Linked DNA regions of Arabidopsis thaliana. The protein of the gene in region 2 interacts with the protein of the main gene of each other region in a pairwise test. Each region holds a gene or a part of one and is shown on either strand. Other genes may lie near its edges.

Region 1 (5,913 bases), about 17 Mb from region 2:
ATTTTAGCTTTTTAAATATAATAAAGCTCGTATTGACAAAGCTAACGGATAAACCCTTATTATTTTGACTGGTTAATTGTTATCTCAAAGAAAAAGTATTTAACATCCTGACTTTAAATTTAGAAAAGTTCATCGACTATTTGTGATGTCCCTTCAAAAAGATTAAAAAACCATAACAAAAGTTAAATGTTTCTCTGGGTTGTACAAATGTTAGATGTTAACTGGACCAGATCACATATAATATAAGAAAATGAACCTGATTAATTCTCTTTACTGAGCTAAATTTTTTACTGACAAGTCTATCAAATTTTACCATCATACTTAAATCCTCAAAAACACATAAACTATACAGTACTTTTTTCTTATTACGTATTTACTATTCTATGCATGAAATTGCGTAAATGTTTGGTTGTATGCATATTAGAATATTCTTTTTATTTTTCTCTCCAACAGATTTAATATTGAACGGTGGTGTTCGTATGATATAAATTCAAAACCACCCACCTTTTATCCTTTCGAACTTTTTCGAGATAGGATAAGATGACATAATTATTTTATTTGTAATTTAGGAAAAGGGGTAGGCCTTTTTTTTTTTCTTTCAAATTAATGATTGTGGGGCTAAAAAAAATAATTTGTGTCCAACACAGGATATAATATTTTGAAACTTGAACGTAAATGTTGACTTTTGATTTTTTTTTCTTCTCAGCTTTTGTTAAATTTAAACTCGTTCCCTTATCAGATTTATTAAAATGGTGAGTGACGAAAAAAAAAAAAATGGTGAGTGAAACGTTAGAGAAATCGACGTATGAAATGAAATTATGAGAGTGTACAGAGAAATATTTGAACAATACTTAGAGCTGACAACAAATTCAAACACTGAATTAGTTCTTGAAGACAAACTCGCTCTTTGCTATAGTTGAGGAGAAGAATCCCACATACTCAATTATAGATCGAGAACGAATCTTTACGTTTTAGTTTTCTTGTCACATTTACTATGTAAAATGGTTCATATTATTATTAAATTTTCATTTATTTTCAAAATAAATTTTTTACAAATATATATATATTTTAATATGATGTTAAAGGTTTTTGTACATAAATTACCTTTTAATTTTGTTTGGTTTATTTAGAAATCAAAATGTAATTTATTATCTACCTAAAAACACGGTTCTTTCAGTATAAAAATTTACAGAATATAAATCATTAAAAGCAAATAACTAATTAGTATTGTATTAAAAATTAAACACTTATCTAATAATACAAAACTTTTGTTCTAAAACATGAAAACGGAAGAAGTATGTTTCTTTTAAAACTATGAAATTCATATACCATATTCAGTTTTATTTAATATCATTTAATATGAATCGACTACCTCATAATTATACAATATAGCAAACTAGGGACCATCTTATCTTTTACGTGATTCCTAAAACATAAATATTTATGGGAATGTTGCCCAAAAAAAAAAATATATATATATATATATTTATGGGAATTTTATCATTTTCTTCCTATTAAGAAAAACCTCAAAAATAAAAATATTAAAATACAAAAGGAAAACATAAAAGCACAAACGAATATTCCAAATATAAACTAAAAATAATACTCATAAACCCAAAAATACATTTTTCCTTTCCCGAAATTCTTTTTTTTGTTAATATTATTATCATGACAAGACGAAATTTACTCAAAAGGCTACGAACCAAAGCCATGTGATGACTACATCAGTACCACGTGTCAAGATCTAAGGACTTAACGAGTTACGAGTGTGTCGTGGGCCATCGACCATGGAAAAGCAACGAGTCTTTAGGTGAATGTTTTACTTGCTATAACCGGTAACAACGGGTCTGGTAATACCGGTAGCTCCGGTGGTTGGTTGAGTTATATGGCTATGGGGGTTTAAGCAAGAAAGACGTGGTCGTGTTCTTCTTATAAGGGTTTTTGTTTATAATTTGGTAATCGAAAAAGAGAGATTTGATAAAATCCTTTGTGTTGAAGGAAAAAAAAATCATATAGGTAACGTTTGATACAAGTAAAAAAAAAAAATTTCCATCACTTTCTTGGGTAAAAAAAACATGGGTTAGAGGAAAAACTGGGGAAAAGATTTTAGATTAAGTGCGTAAAGAATTCTGATTCCTTCGTCTCCGATCTCTCATTTTTCTGGAGAAATTGTCAAAAATTTCAGATATCTATATTGTCTTGGAACTGAAGATTCATCGAAAGGTGAGAAAGATTTAAACTTTTTTTGATGGTTTTTGTGTTCTCGATTTTGTCAAAAGTTTTTGTGTTTGTTTGATCATCGAGAAACTTAGTAAAAATTCATTTTTTATGTGAATTTAGATTTGGAATTTTCAAATTCAAGTTCTTTTGGTTTGGATCTTAAAAGGGTTTTTGTTATCTTTTTGAACTTATCATCATCTTCGATTGAAATTTTTCGTTTTCTTATATGATCAGAATCATCTCATTCATCGATCTGTGAACTCCGATCTGAGAATTTGAAAGTGTCTCTCTTTTTGTTCTAAGTTGATCTGTTTATCCTTTAATTCAAAGATCGAAGCTTTTTTATAATTGAATTACGTTTTGTGTTCTTCAATTCGGATCTTGTGTTTATTAGGGTTTTAGAATGGTTTATCAGATTTGATTTGATATTACCGATCTGTGATTCTTGAATTGAATTGAGTCTTCTTATGGTTCTTGTTTCTTATATACTACAGATTGGTGAGTTTTATTCGCTGCTTATCGCTTGTGGCAATCACATCATCTGTGTTATGCATCCAAGTAATGGTGTCACATAAAGTCTTAGAATTTGGAGATGATGGTTACAAATTACCTGCTCAAGCTCGAGCTCCGAGATCACTCCGGGTAAATGACCCTTTGCTATATTCTCTGTTTAGCTGTTAAAGAATTTATCAGTTACATGAATGATCACTCGCATGTTTGTTCACATTTTTGCTAGAAGAAGCGCATTTACGAAAAGAAGATACCAGGAGATGATAAGATGTGCGCGATTGACTTATTGGCCACCGTAGCTGGAAGCTTGCTTCTCGAGAGCAAAAGTCCGGTAAACGCGTGTCTAGTTGTACAAAATACTGTAAAGAATGAATACCCGGCTGATGAAAACCCCGTAAAGGCGGTTCCTTATTCGGAATCCCCGAGCCTATTTGACAATGGCAAGTGTGGATTTAGCTCTGTGATAACAAATCCTAATCACTTGTTGGTAGGTGACAAAGTAGGAAAGGAGGTGGAGGGTTTTAGTAGTTTGGGTGTGAGTGGTGATGTAAAGCCTGATGTTGTAGCTAGTATAGGTAGTAACAGTAGTACCGAGGTGGGAGCATGTGGGAACGGTAGTCCCAACGAGTCTCGGGATGATGTAAATTTGTTTAGTAGAAATGATGATGATGAAAACTTTTCGGGTTACATTCGAACTCGTATGACTAGGCCTGTGCCTCGTATTGGAGACAGAAGAATTAGGAAGATATTGGCATCTAGACATTGGAAAGGAGGTTCGAAGAACAACACAGGTAAAATCGCCTTTTGTTTTAGTTTTGACTATCTTTATTATTGTGATTTGATGTTTGGTATTTGCAGATGCAAAGCCATGGTATTGCTCAAAGAGGAGTTATTACTTGCACCATCATCAGAGGAGTTATCCCATCAAGAAAAGGAAATACTTTGACAGTGTTTACGACTCGAACTCTGATGATTACCGTTTGCAAGGAAAGACTCATAAAGGTCCAAAACTTGTAATCTTCTCATTCTCTTGTTAGTATGTTGTAAGTCTTTGCTGTTGTAACACGGTTTTGCAAATTCATCCGCAGGAAGCAGAACAATATCTTCCATGAAAAGTCGAAATGCGTCCTTTGTGTCAAGGGATCATCATGGTAATTTAATGGAGTCTCAAGTCTCAATCTATCCTTTGTTCGCTTATTGTTTCGTTGAAATATTTTTGTTTTGTTTTGTTACTCTTTAGTGAAGCTGCGGATCAAGTCTTTTAGGGTGCCTGAGCTTTTCGTAGAGATTCCAGAAACTGCTACTGTTGGCTCCTTGAAGGTGTAATAACAAAACCTAGTTGTGCTGAAAATCCTGATCAAGAAGAACTTATATTTGTATTTTTGTAATGTCGGGGTTGTCAGCGGATGGTGATGGAAGCAGTGACCACCATACTGGGTGATGGACTTCGAGTCGGGCTGATGGTTCAAGGAAAGAAAGTCCGAGATGATGGCAAAACTCTTCTTCAGACTGGGATCTCTGAGGAGAACAACCACTTGGATTCTCTTGGTTTCAGCCTTGAACCTAGCTTAGAGACCACCCCTCAACCACTGTTATCCAGGTTCACTCTTCTCTTCACTCTCAGAGATGCCACATCGATAAAAAATCAATCTTTTGCGGCTTAAGGGCCTTGTTTTCTCTCTGCCAGTTATCTGTCAGATCATGCCTGTGATGATGTGACGTTATGCCACGACAATGCGTTGGATTCTAGTCATGAGCCAGAACCATCCCCAGCTGACTCATTTGGGAAACTAGGCACAAGTGATCATTCTAGAGCTTTGATTCCTGTTGCCTCAGCAGCAATGCTGGCTCCTCGGCCTCCTAACCGTAAGTTTAAAAGGACTGAGCAGCAGCTAGCTGCACAACGCAGAATTCGTCGACCTTTCTCAGTTACTGAAGTAGAAGCACTGGTCCAAGCCGTTGAGAAACTCGGAACCGGAAGGTACAAAACAAAGAAATAGCACTTTCTCTTCTTCATGTTGCTGACAAAATGTGTTTGAAAACTACAGGTGGAGAGATGTGAAGGTTCGTGCTTTCGAGGACGCAGACCATCGTACCTATGTTGATCTCAAGGTTAGTTAGTTTTTTAACTAACTCTTAACCTTAATATATACAGTTTGGTATTGAGTCTTTGCCTTTGTAGGATAAGTGGAAGACGCTGGTCCACACGGCAAGGATATCTCCACAACAGCGGAGAGGAGAGCCGGTGCCACAGGAACTTCTGGACCGTGTTTTGAAGGCACACGCTTACTGGTCACAACACCTAATGCATCAACTGCAGACTGAGCCACCATCCACTCAGGTAGAGGCTCTCTAATCTGAACAGGTTCTTGGTCTAAAGAACCTTTGTGTATTATTATGATGATCCATATTGTAAGATTCTGACATAGTTGAAGATCTGGTCTCAGTTCTTCTTTGTTTTTTTTTTTCTTTCTTTCAAATGTAAAGTTTTATAATTGGAAATAAGGTTGGGTTTTTTCTAACAATGTAAAGGATTTGTTGTAAATCTTTGGTGACATTTTTATTCTGTCTATATGATTTATGGCTCGGCCTATCATATCACAACGACAACGAACTGATATATATATACCTCATCCAAACTCTAGGAGTGCTGGAGAATTCAATTGTTGGATAAATTGTTACTCAAGCTGGTCTATGTTTGGTCAGTTTATGGTTCACATGTGTCCTATATTAGGAAAGAATACACAGAAGCTTGTGCTTGTGAGTGGTATGTGTGCTATGGTATTTACCTTAAATACGGGTCGTTCAGAGTAATAAGCTGGTCTCAAAGCCTCTTTTAAAGGCTATAGCCACAAACAAAGGCACAAAATCCTGGATCTCTAACCAGTAAAGAAGTCGATGTTGAACTAAAGTTCGCAAATATTTGCAGATAGCATTGAGTAGGCAAGCTCTTCCCACTTTTTTTTTTTTTTTTTTCACTGAACTGTTGCCTTTCATTGAATATTGGAGTTTGTGAAAAAATTTAAAGCAATTAGCAATAAAATCAAAAGGATATTGAAGTTTACATTTGGACCTGGACGAGATAATAGAGGATAACGTTCAATTTATTAGAAGTTATGATGACTGATATATTTACCGATTTAAAACTAATATATTTAGCAACTTGACGCAGCAAGAAAATTA
Region 2 (7,819 bases):
GATTAGGATTGTTCAGATTATAAGACCAGATTTCTAAATAGTATGACAACTCCGAAGACCAGATTCTGAACCTCTTCCATTAATTGAACTATTTGGTTAAATAAATCAAACTGTTCTATTTGTTTCTATGATTCCATCTCTGTAAACGGTCAATGTATATGTGTGAGTCTTTTATAATTCGAATCTTCTGCTCAGATATATGAATTTATTCTCATAGATTACAAGAATCTCTGAAGTCTGACATGTGAATTTCTCATAAAATCATCACCGCAGAAGAAGAAATTATCCAAAACGAAATTTGAAGGAAAATACTAAAAAATCGAAAGAAAAGAAGAGAGATCAGAGTTTGGTTAAGAATTTTTTCGGTCACGGTTAATCTGAAACACGGACCAATTTGTTGATCATCATATCTCTCGTTTCAAACAAAACAATCAAAACAGAAGAAAATCAAATCGAAAAAGATCTAGTTGAAAACGATTAAGATCATCAGAGACTTAAATACTAATAATCACAAAGATTACTCCATCATATTGTTGCAGTATTACCTCATCACCTGATCTCAATTTTGCATTATCTATACGGACCAATACATCATAACTCGAAAACCAAAGATCTAAAGAAAACTAAACTGAAGATAAAATACGAACTTGAACAGAGAACCCTAAACTGACTTGATAAGAGCTTGATGTCTGTCAAAGTCATGTGTGGTTTGTATATAAAGGTCCCCAATGGCGGCGATTCTTAGGTTTCTCGAGGAAAACCCTAACGCTTATGGGTCGTATATGAGCTTCATAAGGCCCATTATAATAAACCTCTTTTGACCCATAAAAACCCCAAACCAATACTCAATTAGCTTATATGGATGGGCTTGACTGAAAATTTACAACTTCTCATTTTTGGTTTGATTCAAGAAAAAACAAAATATTAATTTTAAAAAAAAATATGTACTTGGAACAAAATAATTTGTAAGAAAATCTACATCTATTTAAGGCTTGAAGTCATTGGATCCTATTTTAATGGAAGACAAGATCAAAATTTATATCCTTTTTTTGGGGAGTAGATATAAACTTTTAAGCTTAATTTAGCATGTTTTGTAGTAAATCCAAAACTGGATAAAATCTAATTTCAAACTCAACTAATTCTGTTCATTTTATCTTTAAACAAGTTCAAACACTTGAAACAATAGCTTCATACATACGCAAAAGAAACAAACACACAACAAAATTGATAGAATAAAATAAGTTTGGTATTAAAGAAGATATAATCGTAACAAGATTCAAAACTTAAGTAATGACATCGCTACAAAGATCAGCTGTTTCGTTCCGACGTCAAGGTTCTTCGGGTCGTATTTGGAGTGATCAATTCATCTTAGATCAAAAAAATGGAGCAATTCTTCAAAATCATCTAGAACAAACCGGAAGAAATAGTAATGATCTTGAAGATAAAAATCCATCACAGAAATCAAGTTCTTCGTCATCTTCTTCATCACCACCTCCATACTTTTCTGAAATACGTAGAGGACCAGACATCTCATCTTCTACACGAAACAAACTCGCTTGTGGTTTATCATCACTTTTCCGACAATGTATCGGTTCTTCGGCTCGTGCTTAATTTTGTTCAATGCTTGACGCAAATCTGTACATATATTTTCTTGTTATATGAAAAATTCATCACAATTTTTTCCGACCAAACAGAGTTCTTGATAAATGGGCCTATTATTTTAAAAAGCCCAATAGATATTTGAGTGTCCGGCCCAAATTGAAGTAGAATAAAAGATAAGTTACCAATTTACCAGTAGTTAGCAGCAAACACACAGAGAAAGTGAAACATCGAAGAGACCCCAGAATGCAAAATCTCTCTCCGCCTTTTTCTCCTTCCTTATTCGAAAATTCTCAGCGTCTTTGTTGCAAACTCCTCTGAAATTCTCCGTCTTCTTCATTCGTTTTCGACTCTGCGTTCTACTACTTCTCGTCTCCTATCAGTATCATCGCAATTCATATTCAGTCTAGTGTGTTAAACCGGAGAATTTGGAGTCTCGCCGGAATTTTCCTCTGTCTATGTATGATTGCCGGTGATCAAAGCGCTTCTTAACGATTCTGTTCTCCTTTGAGAGATCTGAGTATCTGATTTCATCTACTACATATGTTTTCTCGAGAGTGATAGAAAGTAGGTCTCATACATATTTTTCCTCTGGAGGGAATTTTGATCCTCTGCTTCGTTAATTAACTTGTGATGAAGCGGATAAGAGATGATGTATATGCCTCTGGGTCTCAATTTAGACGTCCTCTTGGTTCTTCTCGAGGCCAATTGTGAGTTTCTCTAAATTCACCCTTCAAATTTCGGTTTTGATCTTGGTTCTGTTTTGTGGCGATTAGGTTTTCTATAATTCTGCATGGAGAGTGACAAATATTTGTTATGAATTGAGTAGTTTTAAGTAATCGATTAGAGATGATTTGGTGCAGATGTGGACAATCTCCGGTCCACGGCAGTGGTGACACCGAAGAAGAAGAAGAAGGAGGGAGCCGGAGAGTCTCTCAGAAATTGACAACCAATGATGCGTTGTCGTACCTGAGGGAAGTAAAAGAGATGTTTCAAGATCAACGCGAGAAATATGACAGGTTCCTCGAGGTTATGAAAGATTTTAAGGCTCAAAGGTTAGCTCTTTCACTCTCTATCGACTTCAAAGTTCAAGTAAGTTTTAGTAGGCGGCATTGTATTAATTCTTCGTCTTGCATTTTCAGAACCGACACAGGCGGTGTGATCGCAAGAGTTAAGGAATTGTTTAAGGGACATAATAATTTGATTTATGGATTCAACACCTTTTTGCCTAAGGGATATGAAATTACGCTTATTGAGGAAGACGACGCTCTGCCAAAGAAGACTGTTGAATTCGAACAAGCCATCAATTTTGTGAATAAAATTAAGGTGCTGTCGAAATCTTGGTCTTATATTTCTCTTTTGAAGTGCGCTTACATCTTGTGTCTCAATGTACAAGTTTCTTTTTTCTCACTGCAGATGCGATTCAAGCACGATGAACATGTCTATAAATCTTTCTTGGAAATCTTGAATATGTACCGAAAGGAGAACAAGGAAATTAAAGAGGTGTACAACGAGGTAATATACTTCATCTCACCTGTAATGCCACTCCAAACTTTTTCTAACCTTCGAATATCTATGCTCCAGGTATCTATTCTTTTTCAAGGCCACTTGGATTTGCTTGAACAGTTTACTAGGTTTTTGCCAGCGTCTTTGCCATCTCATTCAGCAGCGCAGCATAGCCGGAGTCAGGCTCAACAGTACAGCGACCGAGGATCAGACCCTCCTCTACTTCATCAAATGCAAGTGGAAAAGGTTCGTTTGATCTTTGTTTCATATTTTTCCTTGTTCTATTTTTTGCCACGTATCTCAATTTTGTTCCCGCTACAACTTTTTATCACCAGGAACGCCGACGAGAAAGGGCTGTTGCTCTCCGCGGTGATTATAGTGTTGAACGTTATGACCTTAATGATGATAAAACGATGGTGAAGATTCAAAGAGAGCAGCGGAAGCGCCTTGATAAGGAGAACAGGGCAAGGAGAGGCCGTGATTTGGACGATAGAGAAGCAGGTCAAGATAACCTACACCATTTTCCAGAGAAAAGAAAGTCGTCCAGAAGAGCTGAAGCTCTTGAAGCATATTCTGGTTCTGCTTCACATTCTGAGAAAGACAATTTGAAAAGTAAGCTAACTCCTGTGTCAAACATTTTTTTATTTGCTTGGTACCTTTTCTATTTTTTAAGAGTCCCAAACATTGGACACCTTAATTCTTTCTCTTTGAGAGAGAATTTATTTTCCAATTTTGGTTGCATGGTGATCTTTAAGGTGCGAAGATCTGCTTCTGTTTTCTAAGATGTTTACTTTGTGTTAGGTATGTACAAACAAGCATTCGTTTTCTGTGAGAAAGTCAAGGATAGACTATGCAGCCAAGATGATTATCAGACATTCTTGAAGTGCCTCAATATTTTTAGCAATGGAATAATCCAAAGGAAGGATCTGCAAAACTTGGTATTGCAATTTGTGATCAGGGGTTGATCTTGTGGTAACGTTCAGGAAGTTGTATTAAATCCCATTCATTTTCTTTCAGGTTTCTGATCTTCTTGGGAAATTTCCTGATCTGATGGATGAGTTCAACCAGTTCTTCGAGCGGTGTGAGAGTATTACTGGTACTGAAATACGTATTGTTATTTTAATAGTTATTACATATCAGCAATCTTCTTCTTTCTGACGGTCATCCTCTTTTTGTAGATGGATTTCAGCGTCTTGCTGGTGTTATGAGCAAAAGTATGCTGCTATTTTAAACTTCCCAGCTGTGAATAATATTGTCTCTTTCCCTCCTACTTTGTAAAATCTTTACTGACATTGCTGGTACACTTGGCAGAATTATTTAGCAGCGAAGAACAGTTATCCAGGCCAATGAAGGTGGAAGAGAAAGAAAGTGAACACAAGCCTGAACTCGAGGCTGTGAAGGAAACTGAGCAATGCAAGAAGGAGTACATGGGAAAATCTATTCAAGAGCTCGATCTCTCTGATTGCGAGTGTTGCACTCCTAGCTACCGGCTTCTGCCTGCGGATGTAAGCTTCTATTTCCAAGTTGCATTTTGAGCATGTTCATTGGATTTTTACTTACTGTAATATTATATTTGCAGTATCCGATACCAATTGCGAGTCAGAGATCGGAGCTAGGAGCTGAGGTTTTAAATGATCATTGGGTATCTGTCACTTCCGGAAGTGAAGATTATTCTTTTAAGCACATGCGCAGAAACCAATATGAAGAGAGCTTGTTCAGATGCGAAGATGATAGGTATTTATATTGACAACATACATATTATAGTTTGAAGTAATTGGTCATTTATGTTAATTACTGCTTATAACAGATTTGAGTTGGACATGTTGCTGGAATCTGTGAGCTCTGCGGCCAGAAGTGCAGAAAGTTTGTTGAACATCATCACAGAGAAGAAAATAAGTTTTTCTGGCTCCTTCAGGATCGAAGACCATTTTACGGGTCTGTATGCTTTTTTGGGACCATTTTACAGTTCGTAGTTATATCTTCTCTCTTCCCCTATTTAGGTGTCCTCATATGTTTGGTTATTAACTTTACCATTTTCTTATTGACATATTTACAGCCCTAAATTTAAGGTGTATTGAGCGACTTTATGGCGACCATGGTCTTGACGTGATAGACATATTAAATAAGAATCCAGCCACTGCACTTCCTGTAATCCTAACTCGTTTAAAGCAGAAACAAGGTGAATGGAAGAAATGCCGTGACGATTTTGATAAGGTCTGGGCGAACGTATATGCAAAAAACCATTACAAGTCACTTGATCACCGCAGCTTCTACTTCAAGCAACAAGATTCAAAGAACTTGAGTGCAAAATGTAAGTAGACTTATAGAAGTCGTAAGAAGATTTATATTCAAGTAGTTCCTTTATCCTGTTTTATCGCTCACATACATCCGGCAGTGCTATTTTTCCTTTCACTTATTCCTTTCTCATTCTGTTTTTTTATTGCTTCGTGAACCAGCATTGTTGGCTGAAATTAAGGAGCTGAAAGAGAAGTCTCAGAATGATGATGATGTTCTGTTGTCTATTTCTGCTGGTTACAGACAACCTATAAATCCTAATCTTGAATATGAGTATTTGAACAGAGCTATTCATGAAGACATGTTCAAAGTAGTCCAGTTTTCATGTGAGGAGTTATGTTCTACAAAAGAACAGCTCAGTAAAGTTCTGAGGCTTTGGGAAAATTTCCTGGAGGCAGTGCTGGGTGTTCCTCCCAGGGCCAAGGGCACAGATCTTGTTGAAGATGTTGTAATAAACCCCAAGACTCTCGATGTGAATCACAGCACATCTCCTAACGGGGAGGCTGCTGTGAGTTCTGGAGGAGACACAGCAAGGTTGGCTTCTAGGAAACTTAAATCTGCTGCCAATGGAGATGAGAATTCTTCATCTGGGACATTCAAACATGGGATAGGTTTGTTAAATAAAGATTCGACAGGGAAAGAAAATCTTGAAGATGTTGAAATAGCTAACAGAGATGGTGTTGCCTGCTCTGCTGTGAAACCTCAGAAAGAACAAGAAACTGGAAATGAAGCCGAGAAAAGGTTTGGAAAACCTATCCCAATGGATATTAGCGAAAGAGCAGCCATCTCGAGTATATCAATCCCAAGTGGGGCAGAAAACAATCATTGTGTAGTAGGCAAGGAAGTTTTGCCAGGTGCCTTCCAGATTTAAGCTATTTAATTTTATTTGTGCTGCTTGATTATTTGTGTTGATATTTGTTACTTTACAATTAAGGTGCACATGAGATTCAAGCCAAACCAAGCGACACCCTCACTGATATTCATCATGATGTAGATAGCATTGAAACTGTTCATTCGACTCAGGTACTAGTACTACAATCAATTGCTCGTTGTACCATATTTACACCATTCAGTTGCTCGTTGTACCATATTTATATATTCGCCTAAACCCACTATTACCTGGAGGTTTCCATAGCTTAGGGATGTAAAAATTTACAGTACTACCTATGGGACCCAGGGGTGTAAAAATTTAAAATGTGTCTTATATTATAATTATGCTTTCCGGACCCTTCTGACTCTGTCATATTACTAGGGAGGTGATGTTGGCAATTCGATAGTTTTGGCAAATGGATTAAGGTCAGATTCTTCTAAAGGTACTAGGAATTCTGATGATCCCGAAGGTCCCTCCAGAAATGAGAAAGAGGAAGGTGAACTGTCACCTAATGGTGATTTTGAAGACAACTTTGGTGTTTACAAAGATCATGGGGTGAAGTCCACATCCAAACCAGAGAATTCAGCAGAGGCTGAAGTAGAGGCAGATGCTGAAGTAGAGAATGAGGACGATGCTGACGATGTTGATAGTGAAAATGCTTCCGAGGCATCTGGAACTGAATCTGGTGGCGACGTATGTTCTCAGGACGAAGATAGAGAGGAGGAGAATGGTGAGCATGATGAGATCGATGGTAAAGCTGAGAGTGAAGGAGAAGCGGAGGGAATGGATCCACATCTCTTAGAAGGAGAAAGTGAGCTGCTTCCACAGTCAGAACGTGTTCTCTTATCCGTCAGACCCCTTTCAAAGCATGTCGCAGCAGTTTTATGCGATGAGAGAACAAAAGATCTCCAAGTTTTCTATGGGAATGACGACTTTTATGTTCTTTTTAGGCTTCACCAAGTGAGTTACCTAATTATTTATTGAAATTGATTCTCTCTAGCAAAGATAACGTGGTGCATTTTCAGATCCTGTACGAGAGAATTTTGTATGCAAAAAGGAATTGCTCAGGCGGTGAACTGAAATCGAAAAACTTAAAGGATACCAATGCCGGAGATCCTTATGCGAGGTACCTTCCTTTGTACAACTTTTTATACTAGCCTATGTAGATAATCATATACATGTTGTTCCCATCAAAATCTGATCTGTGTGTTGTACAGGTTTATGAGGGTTTTGTATGGTTTGCTAGATGGATCAGCTGAAAATACCAAGTTTGAGGATGAGTGCAGAGCTATAATTGGAAACCAATCATATGTGTTATTCACGTTGGACAAACTGATTTACAGATTGGTTAAGCAGGTGTTACTCACACTAGTGGTTTAGGACAATTTTTTTTATGTTATCGACATTATGTTACCTTCCTTGTGATGTTCTAATATTATCCATCTGCAGCTTCAAGCTATTGTAGCCGATGAAATGGACAACAAGCTGCTTCAGTTGTATGAGTATGAGAAATCCCGGAAACCAGGAAGGGTTATCGACTCAGTGTAT
Region 3 (7,726 bases), on a different chromosome or scaffold from region 2:
AACCTACTAAGAACATTCCCAGCCGATGGGTACATGAGATCAAGTTTCAGAGTCCCAGTTCGGTGTTATTGCTGCATCAAAATATAGCTTACTTAAAGCAGAGGGAGGCAAATTTCTGTACAGTGGAGCTCATCTGGGTCGTTTTTTAATTCGTGTCAAGACCAGCTCGTGTGTTGAACAGGACATGTCGAATCACTATCTCTTCTTTTGCTCAAGAGGTGACAATACCCAGACTTAACAAGAGTGGTATCTATTGACTCATCCTTCGCTTGAGCTTTCTACCCCATTGTTGTTGCCTAGGTCCTCGGAAGAAGCTTTAACTGCCTCTGCACACATGAGAGCAGCTGCAGCTTTCTGGATCGCTAGATCTGCTTTGTACCTCAAACTCTCTGCTCTTTCCCGCTTGAGCTTCGCCAAAGCGCATGCTCGCCTTGCAGCACCAGCTGCATCTCGCAATTTGTACTCATCAATGTCTGTACTATTCCGTATTCCTTCCACATCAGGACGCTGAGATCCGTTGGAGTAACAGACAAGATTGGAACTGGGGCATTCAGAATAGCCTGCATCCCATCGTTCACTCGTATTCCTCTTCCCATTGATTCTTTGCGACTTGTTTTGGTGATTCCTATGATATCCATTTCCACCGCTCGAGAAATATCCCATGCCTAGGTCACGAGGGGAATATGTTCCTGGATGTACAGAAAATTCATTCGAGTGCTCATAGCTTTGATTTGAATATAAAAACCTCTCGTCGCCAGAGACAAAACCAACAGGTCTTCTTCCTGCTAGAGAAATGGAAAAGTTGGATTAAACACAGACTTCATTTTGAAAAATCAGAGTCAATAGAGGATTTATAGAATATCAAGCAGGTAAAAACGAGTTACCTGATGAATTACAGCCATCATAATCTCCCAAAGCAGAACTATGTTGAGCATAAACTGAGAGTTTCTTCTGTGACCTGTGTTTTGTTCCCCTGTGTTTGACTTCCAAACCTCGAGGCTTAAAACAGAAAGCAAACATCGCTGGCTTCTCAGTAGGTGACTGTTTCTTCTGCGACCCACAGGAATTTGGAGTGTTTGCTTTGCTCATAACCAACTCCCAGTCTTTGAGCTCCCTTTGATATTTTTCCCATAGAGGTGGCTGAATTGCAAGGGTAGAAAACAAGTGTTTACGTTAGGCAAAATTAAAAATATTGCAGCAGAGTAACTACATTATTGTTGAGCTAGCAAGTAAGACTAATCAACAAGGAGTAAAATCAACAGACTATAGAAGATGCTACAGTTATGGACTTCCAGACATCTTCGTGCACAACAAACTGGAATGCAAAAAGATGCAATTTTCCCCCTAATAGACGTTCCATTTGCATAAAACACCCACATCATTCAATATCCTGAAAAGAACACTAAGTAATACCTACTACTAGACATAGCCTTATTGTCCACAATTCTGCATTTCCCCCGATTCCAAAAAGATCTATGTTGAGCCTAGTCATGCAGATTTTTAAATCTCAAGAAAAACATGAAAACCAAATAAATAATAAAAGATGAAAAGGCATCAGAGATTGTACCTGAAGATGCCTGATCAATGGCATTCCCTTCCTCTGCCTCTTTGTTCTCCAAAGCTCATATATTGTTTCCATTGCTTCCAAGGATCCAACTCCAGCCGTCAATTCTTGAATTTCGATTAAGGTAAAGTTATCACGCTGCTTTACAAATGAAGCCTTCTCAAACATGTCCATTGCCTTCTCAAACATGTCCTCAGTGATCTCACAAGAGCCACTATTCTCAGCACTCGAACACTCACGAATTCTCAAAAGGCACTGCTCATCATCGCTGTCCATGTCATACATAACACGTGAAGGATCTAATGCCATCTCAACATCAGTTTCAGTCTGCCGAAAATATTTAGAAGAACTGCGAATAAATTCAGTTTCTGTTCCATCAAAATTATCCCTTTCTATCATGCGGATGCCAGGAATAGGAATATTTCTAACTAAAGCAGCCCGAGTATTTCTATTGTAGCACTCTTCATGCATCTCTTTAAAAAGGAACCACTGGCCCCTATCAGGGAACTCCAAGGTCCAATCTTTTCCACCTTTCCACATCATAGCATGTGTAAACCTATTCACTGACCCAGGTTGCAGAAATTGATGTGCCCTGTGTGAGTATTTTGTTGTCCCTGAGATTTTTACCGCAAGTCTCCATTCATTATTATCAAAAGGTTCCAGGAAAATCTGAGCTCCATATTCTCGCCAGCCTCTATCACCAAGAGTGACTAATACATTGGCATCACATAAACTAGACTCGAGATCTTTCTGAATACCTTTGGTAACATCAGCGGTAGACCTTCTAATTCTTTTGTTCGGCATCCCCTTGAGCAGGGAACCTTTGTTTCTAGAATCAGAACCCCCAGAAGGCAATGAATAAGACACTTGGGTACGTCGCTTCTTAGGTCCATTTGCCAAATTAGTGTTCAAAAAGTCTCCCTTTGAATCCGACCAACCATGCGAGAGATGGCCATTTAAAGAACTTTTACTTCGGTTCCACATACTTCTTGGGGCAGTGGCCTTTGGACTTGAGTTGCTACTACCTTGAATATTCAAGGCCAGATTACTTGACTGCGGAGTACCATCCTCACAATCATCAGATATTGGAACTTGAATACTAATCCCATTCACCGAAACATTAGACCTGGTTTCATGCTTATGTCTGACAACAGAAGAACTGTATGACATCCAGTTTTCAGAATCAGACCCCAGCTGCTGACTTTGAGACGGAGTATGAAGGTCTTTTGACTCTTGCGCTCTGGAAGAAGTGATAATTGGTTCATCAGTTTGGCTCTTACTCTTGAGAGACAGTTCAGAATGCTCATTTGTAAAATCTGCCATATCACAACCTCTATGTGTTACCAAATCGCGTTCTATTCCTAGGAAGTCTGCTGAATCATGACCCAGCTCCCTTATCATGTTCAAGTGTAAACTGAGTAACAGTGTAGGTGGCCGAGCAGTAAAAAGAAGTGCAAATGGAGACGTATTTTGCTTCTTGTAGCAAACAGATGTGGGCCACGCTTCAGCAGATGATGATCCTCTAGAAACAAGGCCTGAGCTGATTCCATGCCTAGATCTCTTCTGCATAACCTGATGTGCAAGATTAAAAAAAAAAACGAATTGGTATGAGATAATAGAAATAAAAGTATAACCAACGAAGCAATGTACCAGAACATTCATTAAAGAATCACTGTACCTTCTGCAGGACCTTCATGTTATTGTGAGTACACTCTGCAATTGATACTTGCTTAACCAGCAAAGAATGTCTCCTGACATTCTGTTCCAAGTATGACCACTTTGAATGTTTCACCTCATGGAAACTGTAGATTTGAAATCCAAGCTGCCTTTGGAAACCTGGGATGCAAGAAACTTGGAGACCAATTGAGAAAACTGGCAACTGCAAGTCAGCATCCGCTCCTTGTGCTCCTTGCTTATTAGAATGATCTACTACCATCAAGATACGGAAAATCAATTGAACAACTTCCATTAAGCAGCCTTCAAAAATTAGATACCTTAACCCATCTTGGTTATTCAGGAAAATCATTTCCAAACGAACTCTTGGCCACAAAGTCACAAGTGTACCATGACGAAGCAAAAGAGCAGCACGTGAAAGCCAGTCAACATCGGCCATAAGAAAGTAGCTCATCAAGGAAACACCCTGTAGGCTGAGGGACAACTCAAATTGCTCTGATTCATTCCACGGGCAACAAAGCTCCAGATCCCCAGAATCTTCAATAGGCAAAAACTCTACACCAGGATCCGGACTTTTTGATACAAGAAACTGCTTCAAAAACTCAACACTATTGTAACCTGACTCTTTGTAGATATCCTTCTTTGCTGTATGAAGTCTTCTCCTACAATAGACAATAGGAAATATGCTACCATTCCGAAAACCAGAGCTTTCCAACTCGTTTTTACTTGGTCCAGGTAATCCACATGATGCAAGAGAACTAGCCGATCTATCTGTGACATCCCCATTCATTTTAACAGATTCATTAGATGTCATTACGTCAGTTTTTTTCCGCTTTTGTACAGCCTTAAGAGTGGAGGATTTGTCCCGATGTCTAGACCGAGCCAACCATGTGATGATTGGCTCTGATTCCATGCAGCTATCATCTTCTAGCTTTTCCTTCTGCTTCTCCTCGTCTTTGCTGGAAGTATCATTCCCTTTTACTTTCTGAGTAGACTTTGACTCTGAACAACGCCTTTTCCGCTGATTTTTTCCAGGAACTTCAGAAGGAAACAACAGAATTTTGAATCTTTCACCCTGTAAGTTGATCCACTCCTCATCACGATCATCATATTTTACATGATGCAGGTTCTTGTCTCCATCGAAACCATCCACAAACCCATGATACCATCTCTCATCCAATGGCCAGAAAACTTTAATCTTTTTGTTTAACAACCAGTGTGAATCCACATCTGAAAACAAAATTTCATAAAAGTGGCGTCTTTTCCGAACTTTACCCTTCCCATCATCATTATGTCTCCTTGGTCGCAACATTCTATCATCAGTGTCATCTGAGACACATTTAGAACTAAGCAACTCGGACCGAGGATCAACTGAATTCTTACCAGAAGGCAATGGATGCAATCTACTCGCAGATGGTGAACCAGGAGTAACAGAATTTGAAGGAAACTGGGTACAGTTTGGATCAAACCGTGAAGACAGCATTATTGCAGCATTAGCTTCAAGATTCTCCTCATCATCTTCCCGTGATACCTTGGATATTCTACCAGAAGCATCACCTGAAGACTTGGCCTCTTTTCCCACGCGTCTGTTTGATGCTGAGGACTTCCTTTTTCTGCTGTTACTATTTCTTTGTTTAACAACAACCAGCTGATCATCTTTCACTGGAGACTGATTAGAATGCCCATTTTCCAACTGCAACGGAGCTGCGGAATTAGATTCTTTGATATCTTTGTCAGAGTCCTTCTCTTCAACTTTAGAGGGTTGATCCTGAACACTAGATTCTTCAGCAGTAACCTTAGGGATATTAACAACCAGCTCCTCCTGACTATCAGACTCCCCTGCAGACTTCTGTGCTAGGCCATTCTCAAACCTACTCCTCCCAACAAAATCTCTCCTGCGTCTAGGAACATAAATCGTACTACTTGCCAAACCAACAGAAATCACTTGAAGCCCATTACTGTCACACAATTTCTCATCCAAACCCACCTCCTTGGAGTCCTCCAAATTGTGCAATATAGTGGTGCCATTGCATGCCTTATCCAGAATACTCTCGTTCTGGCTACCTACTTTCTTAAAACTACTTAGAGAAACAACTTTCCTGCTCTTCTTGTCCTGCTTCAACTGATCACCATCAATCCCAGACCTATGTTTTCTTTTAAAGCTCTTATTCACTGAATCCTTGGAAATGCTAGACTTATAGAGCGTCTTAAGATCTAAAGACCTGGATTTCTTCGAAATTCCCACTCCATTAGAGTTACCTAGTCTATTTTCCATGAAAGCCACCTCGAACCAATACCCAGAATCAAAAGCCAGCAGGTCTCAAATTCCATCATATACGCAAGCAAACATTTTTCAGATCTGTGACACCAAAACCAAACCCAGAATCACAAAAAGTACCCAAAGTATGATAAAAGAAGAACACACAAGTCACCCAAAGAAACAGATCAAATCCCACTTCAGGAAAAAACTTTGCATTGAAATCCAAGCAATTGTTTTTTCAACAATCAAGCAAAATTTAACTGCAAAAAATTAAAAAAAAAAAGAGAGAAATTTGCATGCCTACCTGCATCACTTTATCAGACGAAATCGAGTCTCTTAAGGACCTTTATAGTCGCCACAATCCCAAAATCAAAATTAGGGTTTCGGTAAATCGGACTGCGAATCGGATCCCTAAATCAAACAATCGAAAATTTCCCAAAAGTATTCGTTCAATTTAGCCGAAAATAAAAAAAGCAAAATTTGCTTCTTTTTTTTTTCTTTTTTAACCGGGAGAAACGGGAGAGCTAGGGTTTCGTCTGGTTCCGCGAGAGTAAGGTTTTTTCAGTTATAAAGAAAACATATTCCAAATAAACATCGTATCACGGGTACCGTCCGATGGAGACGCGTTACTATATCTACGGTCCATATTTAGTTTCGAAATAAGCACTAAATTTTTAACTCTGCAACAGAAAAGATATAATGGACGTTCGAGATTCTCAGCTGCGAAATATTTGTTTGGACGGTCAGGATTTAAAGATTTCTTCAGAGAGAATAATTTATTGTTGTCACGTGTGTTGCTAACCTACCGCAATCTTGTGTTTGTCCACCTAGCCAACAATTGTTAGAGACATCATTCAACTTAACAACTATTATTACTAGAATACTAGGGGATAATTTAAGTATAAAATCATCACATTACAGTATTATCTTTTTAATAATTTATATATATATATATATATTATTGTTATTTTCTTTTAATATATAAACTTCATTCATCCATTAGCTTAACAATTTTCCAATATTTTGTAAAAATATATATATACATATTATTAGGAGTTTTCGGACCATATTTAAGTATTAGTGTATTACTACCTTATTATGTGTTTAAATATATATTTTTATTAAATATAGACATATAGCAAAAAGAATTAGTAGTAGAGAGATTGATTGGAATCAATTTTTGATTAATTATATAGTGTAAACTAAGCTTTAAGAATATTTAAAAAATAGATTTGGTTTCCTTATAAATATGAATTAAGGTCATTATTAACGTATCATAAGATTTAGAGCAATGTATAAACACAAGAAGAAAAACAATAAAAGTTCAGAAATTCCTTTTTCGATTCAAAAATACGTTAAAAATTGACAAAATATTTTGGCGGGTGGATTGTATATTGGAACCCAAAATTTGCTTTTTTAATACAGAAAAATAAAATAAAATTGGCTTAATTGGAAAAACTAATATTGAGTTCATAAACCAAATTAAGGTTTAATTAGACAGTCTAATCCAATGTTCGGTTCAATTTTGTAATCAAATGTTCGGTTCAATTTTGTAATCAAATGTTCGGTTTGATGATCCATAAGAGAGGAGATAACATCCCAAATAGAGACAGATCCCCTTCCCTTGTCGTGTAGCCCAGTAGCTCTAATCGCTACGATTGCTACACACCACATCCCTTAAGAAAACCCTAATCATCTCTCTCTCGCATTCTATAGGAATCGCTTCCCGAAGCTTCCAACATTCTCTTGTTTCTCCTTTGTCTCTCAATTTCAGTTTCCTATATTATACGCTTGTATTAATCACCAGTATACATTTTGTCGTTTCTGGGTCTGGAACCCTAGTAGTTATTATAGCATCCATCGCTTTCTTCAATCGCCGTCCATCAGAGTTTCAAGGGATTTGCTTTAAAGATCAATCCTTTCCTAAGAAAATAGCGACAATTCATCAGCTTTTCCTTTCCCATCCTTCATTACCTTAACTTACTCGAGATTCATCTTCCAGCTGAAATTGTGAAACTTCGTTTCTGGGTTTTTATCAGAAAACACTCTGTGACTTATTGTGTGGTGATCGAGGAAAGAAAAAAGATGGTTGGTGGTGGAAACAGGAGAGATGAGGGATCGATGCCGATTCAGAACACCAACTTGTTTGCTGCTTTGGATACTTCGAGGAAGAAGAAGAAGTCTGATAAGGCTGGTAAGAGCAAAGCTTCCTCTAAGAGAGAAGATTC

Evidence for each region. The genes of interacting proteins can lie anywhere in the genome.
Region 1: the proteins of SNL1 (region 2) and TRFL1 interact in a two-hybrid assay, tested with the Arabidopsis thaliana proteins (one study listed by BioGRID).
Region 3: the proteins of SNL1 (region 2) and AT4G32620 interact in a two-hybrid assay, tested with the Arabidopsis thaliana proteins (one study listed by BioGRID).

What each region holds. Positions count from the first base shown.
Region 1 is NC_003074.8:17,150,861-17,156,773, forward strand, and holds TRFL1 (TRF-like 1), read left to right. Parts: upstream 1-1,599; 5' UTR 1,600-2,223; intron 2,224-2,714; 5' UTR 2,715-2,781; coding exon 2,782-2,862; intron 2,863-2,886; exon of another isoform or gene 2,887-2,956; coding exon 2,957-3,521; intron 3,522-3,588; coding exon 3,589-3,732; intron 3,733-3,818; coding exon 3,819-3,881; intron 3,882-3,970; coding exon 3,971-4,050; intron 4,051-4,133; coding exon 4,134-4,330; coding exon of another isoform or gene 4,331-4,394; exon of another isoform or gene 4,395-4,417; coding exon 4,418-4,711; intron 4,712-4,778; coding exon 4,779-4,842; intron 4,843-4,912; coding exon 4,913-5,086; 3' UTR 5,087-5,380; downstream 5,381-5,913. UniProt on the Arabidopsis thaliana protein: Binds specifically to the plant telomeric double-stranded DNA sequences. At least 2 repeats of telomeric sequences are required for binding. Induces DNA bending.
Region 2 is NC_003074.8:104,498-112,316, forward strand, and holds the start of SNL1 (SIN3-like 1), read left to right. Parts: upstream 1-1,796; 5' UTR 1,797-1,798; coding exon of another isoform or gene 1,799-1,939; 5' UTR 1,940-2,232; coding exon 2,233-2,309; intron 2,310-2,462; coding exon 2,463-2,654; intron 2,655-2,741; coding exon 2,742-2,925; intron 2,926-3,015; coding exon 3,016-3,114; intron 3,115-3,183; coding exon 3,184-3,351; intron 3,352-3,440; coding exon 3,441-3,717; intron 3,718-3,906; coding exon 3,907-4,043; intron 4,044-4,122; coding exon 4,123-4,201; intron 4,202-4,283; coding exon 4,284-4,319; intron 4,320-4,416; coding exon 4,417-4,610; intron 4,611-4,684; coding exon 4,685-4,839; intron 4,840-4,912; coding exon 4,913-5,040; intron 5,041-5,161; coding exon 5,162-5,416; intron 5,417-5,561; coding exon 5,562-6,254; intron 6,255-6,334; coding exon 6,335-6,423; intron 6,424-6,652; coding exon 6,653-7,231; intron 7,232-7,296; coding exon 7,297-7,397; intron 7,398-7,488; coding exon 7,489-7,627; intron 7,628-7,720; and 1 more. Other genes in the region: AT3G01319 (uncharacterized protein), read right to left, coding at 1,799-1,939. UniProt on the Arabidopsis thaliana protein: Acts as a transcriptional repressor. A histone deacetylase (HDAC) activity is required for transcription repression. May play a role in telomere stability.
Region 3 is NC_003075.7:15,729,755-15,737,480, reverse strand, and holds the start of AT4G32620 (Enhancer of polycomb-like transcription factor protein), read right to left. Parts: upstream 6,034-7,726; 5' UTR 5,803-6,033; intron 5,598-5,802; 5' UTR 5,514-5,597; coding exon 3,243-5,513; intron 3,137-3,242; coding exon 1,568-3,136; intron 1,141-1,567; coding exon 885-1,140; intron 786-884; coding exon 259-785; 3' UTR 1-258. Other genes in the region: AT4G32610 (copper ion binding protein), read left to right, coding at 7,584-7,726.